Linked DNA regions of Drosophila melanogaster. The protein of the gene in region 1 interacts with the protein of each later gene in a biochemical or structural test. Each region holds a gene or a part of one and is shown in the gene's direction. Other genes may lie near its edges.

The links. The genes of interacting proteins can lie anywhere in the genome.
Region 2: of the proteins of tacc (region 1) and aurA, one has a biochemical effect on the other in vitro, tested with the Drosophila melanogaster proteins (one study listed by BioGRID).

The regions. Positions count from the first base shown.
Region 1 is NT_033777.3:4,743,376-4,748,321, reverse strand, and holds the start of tacc (transforming acidic coiled-coil protein), read left to right. Parts: upstream 1-1,907; 5' UTR 1,908-2,147; coding exon 2,148-2,525; intron 2,526-3,656; coding exon 3,657-3,858; intron 3,859-4,139; coding exon 4,140-4,946.
Region 2 is NT_033777.3:11,961,419-11,965,379, forward strand, and holds aurA (aurora A), read left to right. Parts: upstream 1-1,705; 5' UTR 1,706-1,873; coding exon 1,874-1,987; intron 1,988-2,051; coding exon 2,052-2,352; intron 2,353-2,414; coding exon 2,415-3,235; 3' UTR 3,236-3,408; downstream 3,409-3,961. Other genes in the region: CG3281 (uncharacterized protein), read right to left, coding at 1-1,085, 1,139-1,294.

The DNA.
Region 1 (4,946 bases):
TCCTTCTATATATTTGTCTCTTGAAATTTCCACTCTCCAGATGGTGCACTTTCCATTTAAAAATGCTAGTGTGTATCGCTATTATGCCAATAAATCAGTTGGCGGCTAACGGCTGCAAAATGTCAGTGCCTAATGCGGTTTACAGTCCAAAAAACGCCCATCTGAGGATTTAAGTTTGACTAAATGTCATTTAACTCCATCTTCCCTTTTGCCAACAAAAATGCTCATTATAAAGGATCTACAGATGGTTTCCACCCCTTTCCACATTTGCCTATTTTTAGATCAGTTTATAGTTGGCTCTTCCTCAATATTTGTTTTCTTTTATTTTCCTGAGTTCTATTGGATATTCGAATTGCAGCTTAAGGTTCAAATTCCACTTGTATTCTATTCTATTGTATTTATTGTGTTTTCTGAAATCAGTATACTCATTTGTGGCCACTATTTGGATTCCACTCAAGGCTTATATGCTTCAACAAACTACATTGGTTTTAAATTCACCCTGAGCCGGGAACCGTGTGATATCTTGTCACCTGTCGCGCGCTGCTTGGATAACGCTAGAGCCAACATCTAACTATTCCCCCCTCGTCAAGGCCCATCGTGTGGGATTCCGTTTCATTGCTTACATTTTCTCGCCAAACATGCAAAGTCAGCCGTTGGGCAATGTGGAGCTTGCAGATAGTGCGCCATGATGCGCAACAATGGCTGTGGGATTGCATGTCATCTGGGACCCACCAGGCCTCTACACTTGAAACAATGTGATGAGCCAAATCAACATATTTATTATTTTAGAGCACTCTACTTGCCTCTACTGGTATATCTTTAAGAGAAAGCATTTTGCAAATAAGACTGTTCTCCAAAAATCCTATGGAAAATGTGCAAAATAATTCTGTCATCAAAGCGTTGAATTTGCACCAAGTTCCTCCAGTTGATTTGCGAAGACAATATAAGCAGTCGGCGGTCGCCGTATTCTCGTATCCCATTTATTTATCCCCTTCTTTAAGTGTTTCGACTTATTTGCGGTGTCTTGCACTTTCACTGCTGCCTTTCAGTCTGAATTTCGTCTGAGGCCTGTATAGTTTTTCAGTTTTTCACTGCAGTTCAGTCAAAAAGGTTGTCAACTTGAGCCCGCTCTTTTGACATTATTATTTTATAAATGTTGCCCACGACCTCGACCGTTTCCAAAATGTATTTCATATATCTAAGAGAAGTGTGTTTAAATGGATCAAGTGTGTGTTGCCCTCTAGCTTCATAAAACCCAATATATTTTCTCGAAATAGAAAAGGGTAACTATTCCAACCATAGAAAGGATAAGATTTCATCTTCAGAATCACCAGCCAAGTCTATCTGGCCACTAAGACTTATATTATTTATATGCTAATAAAATCTTTGAAGGGTATATTTCTCGTAGCTCCAAAAGCTGAGTAATGGGTAGTCGAGAAAAACGACTGAGTTCTCTGTTGTTTTGATTTAATTTTCATTAGGAATATTTGTGCTTAAAAGTTCAGAGTATAACTTATCGGAACTATTTCAAGACTAAGGATGTGCTAAATAAATGTTTTAAGTTGGTATGAAATCCATAATGTGTAATATACAAAGGTGTCTCTAGCCGCCGTCTCACATGTGAAAACATATGGCAGTATTATAAATGGAAGAGAGGACCGTGCTGATAAGGGGAGAACGCCATGTGGGCTAAAACGATCCAAACATGAAGACATACGAAAACATCCGGATCGTTATGTGGATGCCATTCAAACTATTCGTTCTCTCACTCGGTCTGTCGATCCCCCGCACTCTCGCCGTGCTCTAAGTATTTGTGCATGTGTGACGCTGAGCAGAGCAAAGCAAATTGAAAACGAAAATATTTTTAAATTGATTTTAAAGGCAGACATGATCGGGAGGCAGTGAGAACCGCACGCGACAACGGGCCGTGAGAAACCCGGAGGTATTACCCAATATAATGGAAGCGGAAAATCACAGTAAAGATTTTACCGAGTAGGCGAGCCCAAATCTGTGTCACAACAAAAACCACAAAAAAAAAAAAAAAAAAAAAACACTAAAGACCAAACTAAGGAACTCTATAGATCCATTATTTTTTGGAGCCAAGTGAACCGTATCGCGTCTCAGGAGTTAATCGTGCGTAGAGCGGCATGGATTTCCTCGCGAATATCATCAAAAGACCCAAAAGCATCGCCACCACTGGCATCAGCACCAATCAGCCAACGACAATGGAAGCCCTAGAAGCTGCTAGTCCCGCTGATGAATGTTCTACACCAAGGGATAAGGGAGGAGTTACACTTGTATCCGCGCACCTGGACTCGTTACTAGAGTCCGCCTCTGAGGAGCTGCAACGACTGGAGGGAAAGCACTGTGAACTATTTATGGAATCCATCTCGAACCCACTCCCAGCCCCCGAGGACAGCACTGATAGTAGAGAAGAAATACAGAAATTTCTAAGCGAAATAAACTTCAATCTGAACCAAGTGAGTGCTAACGAAATGGAGCACTTGCAAGCCATGAGTGGCGAGGTATGTCTGAAAGAATTAGGACTATCTTTTTATGTGCATCCCTGGGGGGGGGGGGGGGGGTGTTCTAGTATTAGGCAAACTGCATAAATCTACACATTGGAATTTTTTTGTAATGTCCCAATGTGTTTTGCCGATTGCATATATAGTATTTATGCGGTTCCACTTGGTTTTGTCACCTTATTGCGTTGCAGAAAATATTATTTTAAATAGGGTTGTATCTAGCCATTAGCTTGGGCTAATATTCCGCAGGAATCTGCTTCCCATTACCACTCAAATTTGAGCCCATTGTCAAAAAATTAAAATTAAAATACTTATCAATAAAATCGAAACGGAGAAATTGGTCTAATGCCAGAATTTTCCTAATTTTTAGTGTCTCGCTCATAAGCCGGTCACCACTCGCCTTATTCTTCTGACTTTAACCTTGCAGCACCCATTATACTGCAATGCGCTCTAATTAAATTCCGCGTGTAGAACGATGCTCCCAAACCTAAATAGACATTAAACATGGCGGCCGGCCGCATTGAATCCGCGGCATGTTTATTTCGCACTGCACAAAAGCTGACGTCGACCCAGTTCCACGTCCATCTCCCCACCTTTTGCTCCTCAATCCGTTTCGTTGCCACCCTCCCAAACATATGCCATATACCCGATTTTTACGTCTTGGCTGGCTTTTTAATTAATGACATTTGCTTTTGTTGACTGACCGACTGCGACAAACATTTGAAATGTATGTCTTTTTTAAGCGTGAATTGAAGGCATCTGTATCATATGGGCTACATTAGATGAGATTGAAGTTTTTCAAATGAAGATCATAATTTCATAATAATGTATTCTTTTGTATATGATAATAACTAAAAATGGGGGTCCTATGCCTTTGTATAATTTCTTGGCAATGGGAAAATACGGGAAAAGTCATCCCAAATGCGATTTATTTATGCCAACTGTGGTGGGGCTCTTGCCTTTTTGTGTGTCAAAAATTCTTAATTAAATGACCAACCAGCTGCTACTCGTGATCATCTTTAAAACCCCATTCCCAACATCGGTTGTTCACGGTTTAAAACTATTCGGATCATGACCGCGATGTACATCTTGATAACTATATTCTTAAATTTTGCATCTCTTGTTTGGCAGCTGAGTCCGTTGGCGGTGAAGCCCAGTCCCAAGCCAACGAGCATGGATCAACAGAAGGCAATGGCGGCAGCTCTGGGGCATCAGACGGCGGTACCCGGTGGACTTAAGCCAGAAGACGACCTCGTTCCAAAGTTTGGAGGTCTTCCCGAGTTCGATGAGACGCAAATACCGGAACTAGCTCCTTTAAGTACCGATATGGATAGTGAGTAAATCTTGTTTGTGTAACCCAGAAATCTCTTAAGGTAGAAAAATTATATTGATGTACAAAAGAATTCCATACGAAATCCGCCAGAAGAGCGAAGTAATTTCTTCTATTTCAATACCGTCATTTATACAAAGGAAAGGGCCAGCTGGGGAAAATAAATCATTTCCAAGTTTATGTATAAATTTCTCGTTGTATTAATTATATAAATAAATTTCTTATATGTATTTAATTATTATTAAAACGAATTGATTAATATATCGCATTCATTCCTCCCTTAGCTCAACTGAAATCCAACCATTCGGATTCGGATGTTTTTGTCGAGTGTTTATCGCTTCATAGCGAGCGCTACACCGGAGATCGATCGGAGTTAGAGGCATATTCAAGTGCCCTTAATGATGTTTTGGAGCAGCAGCTGTCCATGACCTCAGTTTCTACACTGGGAGCTGAATTCAACGATCCTTTGGCAGTTAGCCAGCACAACAACGTCAGCTATGAAGCCATGGATGTGGATGACCTAAACGAAACCATGGAAATGTTAAAGGACGTCTTGAATGCGGAAGACCGTCATCTTATGCAAACGCATATTCTCAGCGTAACCCAGTCAAAACCAGAGAATAATTTTGTGCACTATCATCCAAATCAGGAGCAAAATAGGGTTGAACTAGACCAGTTAGCCAAACACTCTAAACCCAATAGTGATGCAAAGGAATCAGAATCATTGGTAGAATCAGTACTGTCTGAGGAGTCTGGTACACAATCCTTTGAGCCGAAGCTCACCTTATCTGCCTTGGACTCTACGAAAGACTTAGCTAAGCATCAAGAGGAAATGCAAACAAATACAAAAGATATATTTCAGAAAGAGAAGCACCACCCGGTCAGTAGTGCTCAGGTGAAGGACGCACAAAATCCTAAGGAGCCTGAAAAGGCCTTAAATCTCAAAGAGGCTTCTTCAGAACTGTCCACAAAATCAGCAAAATCTCTAGAATACCCTAATCAAGAGAAGCAATTTTCGGTGGCAGTAGAATCAATGGAGAGACCATGCACTGCCATCAGCCTTGAGCAAAATGCATCCCCAGCTATGGAGG
Region 2 (3,961 bases), 7.2 Mb from region 1:
AAGCTCTCGCCGCACACTCCACACTGATATGGTCGCTCGCCCGTGTGGCGCCGCATATGGATCTTAAGGTCGTTGGACTGCACAAAGCTCTTGCTGCACATTTTGCAGGAGTACGGCCTTTGACCCGTGTGCAATCGCATGTGTCGCGCCAGCTTGTTCTGCGAAATAAACTTCTTGGAGCAGATCTTGCACTCACTGGGACGCTCGCCGGTGTGCTGACGCATGTGAAGACTAAGATCTTGGCTGCGCGGAAAGGCCTTCTCGCATTGATCGCACTTGTACGGATTATCGCCCGTATGTCGCCGAATGTGGATGGTAAGGCTAGATACGGGAAAGCTCAGGCCACAGTGCGGACAGTCTCGCCGCTTAGCTATGCGTTTTCGGGCGGAATTGTCCGTCGTTTCTTCGGGTTCCAATGCGATTGCGTCGGGATGGAATGCCTGCATGTGTCGCCGGAGTGTGTCCTGACGCTTGAATGTCCGCGGACAGTGCTCACAGGTTAGCAGACCGGTGCCGCAGCTCTCGTTGGCCAGCTTCATGGCGGCCACGTCCGCTGTCAGTTTGTGGGCTTGGGAAAAATGACGAGTCAGAGATTCACTTTTGGCAAAGACACGCGGACAGACGGCGCACTTGTAGATGAAGTTCGCCGAATGGTTCAAACGACTGCCCAGCTGGGAAGGTCGCGACAATTCTCTGTTTTCTATTTCATCTGGCCGAGGCTTCAGCTGAAAGGAGTCTTCAGGCTCATCATCACGATCCTCGCTCGCATAGAGTGGCTCTTCGCCCACATCTGAAGTAAAAGCTGAACAGTCTTGGTCTCCATACTTCTCCTCCATTTCCACGTGCTGTTCGGCAAAAGACGTGGACAGGTATTGTGCCATACTGACCACATCGTCTTGGTCTATAAGCTCCACGACATCCACATGAACTTCATCCGGCTTGGCAGCAACTTCCTGTTGCTCGAAGAGATTCTGTAAAGTTTCATGGGCGTTTTCCACTTCGACGATGAACTCATAGGCGCCGATCAGCCGGCGGGCGCAATTTTGACACAGATGCATAGGCAGATTTGGGTCCGTCCATGTCCACTGGAAATAATTGAACTTATTTTTCGAAGTTTCTTGAAATTGTAGCTCTTTACCTTCAATTTGGAAACTGCCTCCAACAACTGCCAGAGCTCCAACTTAAGGTCGTTGTATTTGATTTCATCGTGGACATACAGATTGGTCTCGTGCGTCTCCAGGCAGACGCGGCAAGTCTGCGAGCTTATATTTACGTGGATCTCCGGTGTGTCCATGATTCGGCATCATATCATAAACGACGAATTCCAATAAAAACTTTGCTTGTTAATAACACCTGATGTTCAGAGATGCCCGATAAAATCACAGCTGTTCTGGTTCACAGTCACCAGAAATAAAAAATATTGGAATTGAGATGTACACAATTAACGATATTTATAAATATCTTCCGATAGTCTATCGTCCGGTTAATCAAAATAAAGTGCGACGAATTAACATATTTTCAAAATTAAGACGCTTTGATAGATGTATTTGTATAGAGATAGAAATTAAGGTTAAAATAACATAAATGCCAAAGTTTAGAGCACTATTCAATAATTCTCTTGATTTCAAATTGAAATAATACACAATATAACATTTTCTAACACTACAAAGTCACGATATTCTTCAACCAACCGATAGTATCGCACACTTGCCATTCGCCTCATCACGCACACGCCCGCTTCACAATTCAAACGAACGGCATTTTATTTTCACAGGATCCCGGGAGTCGTGAATGTTTTACCCAATATCGGCTTTCATTGTTAACTGACCAAAATTGTAATCTGTTCTGTTAGTTGTCGAGTGCCTGTGCCGTCATGTCCCATCCGTCTGACCATGTGCTGCGTCCCAAGGAAAATGCTCCGCACAGAATGCCAGAAAAATCAGCTGCAGTGCACAATATGCAAAAGAACTTGCTATTGGGAAAGAAGGTACGTTAAGTGGTAAATCTCTGGAGTGCAGCTGAAACTCTTATTTGGTACCATTGTGATACAGCCCAACAGCGAGAATATGGCTCCAGCTAGCAAACCCTTGCCAGGATCCTCTGGCGCTTTGATCAGGAAGCCAGGCCTAGGAGGCTCCAATTCCATAGCTTCCTCCGAAGGAAACAACTTCCAAAAACCCATGGTGCCGTCCGTGAAGAAGACCACATCAGAGTTTGCTGCTCCGGCTCCAGTAGCACCTATCAAGAAGCCTGAGTCACTTTCCAAGCAGAAACCCACTGCTGCGAGCTCTGAATCCTCCAAGGAACTGGGTGCGGCCAGCAGCTCCGCTGAAAAAGAGAAAACCAAGACTGGTGGGTTAATGGTTCAGCTGTAATCTTTTGCAATTACCAAACTCAATTGTAATTTTCTGCAGAAACCCAGCCCCAGAAGCCGAAGAAGACCTGGGAGCTCAACAACTTTGATATTGGTCGCCTGCTGGGACGGGGCAAGTTTGGCAACGTTTATTTGGCGCGGGAAAAGGAATCCCAGTTCGTGGTGGCCCTAAAAGTGCTCTTTAAGCGCCAGATTGGCGAGTCCAATGTGGAGCACCAGGTGCGTCGTGAGATCGAGATACAATCGCACCTACGTCATCCGCATATCCTGCGTCTGTATGCCTACTTTCACGACGACGTGCGCATATATCTGATCTTGGAGTATGCGCCACAAGGAACGCTTTTCAACGCCTTGCAGGCACAGCCGATGAAACGTTTCGATGAACGCCAGTCGGCCACCTATATTCAGGCGTTGTGCTCGGCGCTGCTCTATCTGCATGAGCGGGACATCATACACAGGGACATCAAGCCGGAGAACTTGCTGCTCGGGCACAAGGGCGTCCTGAAGATCGCCGACTTCGGTTGGTCCGTGCACGAGCCGAACTCCATGCGCATGACACTGTGCGGCACTGTCGACTACTTGCCACCCGAAATGGTTCAGGGCAAGCCGCACACGAAAAACGTGGATCTATGGAGCCTGGGTGTGCTCTGCTTTGAGCTGCTAGTGGGCCACGCTCCCTTCTACTCGAAGAACTATGACGAGACCTACAAGAAGATTCTCAAGGTGGACTACAAACTGCCGGAGCACATTTCCAAGGCAGCATCCCATCTCATTTCCAAGCTGCTGGTCCTTAATCCGCAGCACCGCCTACCGCTGGATCAGGTGATGGTGCATCCTTGGATCCTGGCGCACACGCAGTGAACACATTCTTGTTTAATTTTCAGTTAATTCCTTTTAATTACATTTTTAGTTTAGGGCTCCCCGCGTAATTTAATTATGGCATCATAAATTTTCATTTATATAGATACGAGAAATTAACATTTATCAATTAAGTTTATTATTATCATTAGCAATAAAGTTTGTGTGTGTTTTCGAATGCTAGCGTACACTCCTATCTTATGTAGCTACCTAATCTCTAGCGAAATGGGTTGACGGAATTGCAAATGCAGAAGTGAAACGTGTAGGCAGCGACAAAAAAAACAGGCAACATTGCCCAAATGCAGCGCAGCGTTTATTTTTATCACAGAAAACCAAGTATATAGAGTATATTTGTTAATGAAACTTGTAAGGATTTAGCAACGATTTCGATTACTGCTAATTCGGGACTAATAATTTGCAAGGCAGAACTGAAACAGTCTTCATTTTAAATCTGTCTGCATTTGTTCGTAGCTCCATCTCAGAGTATTGTATTTCCTGCGAGTTTTAATTTCTTGTTCTTCATTTGCTATTAACGAAATGATGGTAGTCATGACGTTGAACTTAACTTACAAACTAAATAGCTTAGGGCGTGCTCAAGCCAGGATAGATTTTGATTTATAATCTTCAATTAACGTACAAATTTCAATGATCGATTTGCGACATTTCGTTATGATTAACCCTAGAATCTATGGCTTACCGAGCACGGCTTTAATATAAAGGGGTTTCTAA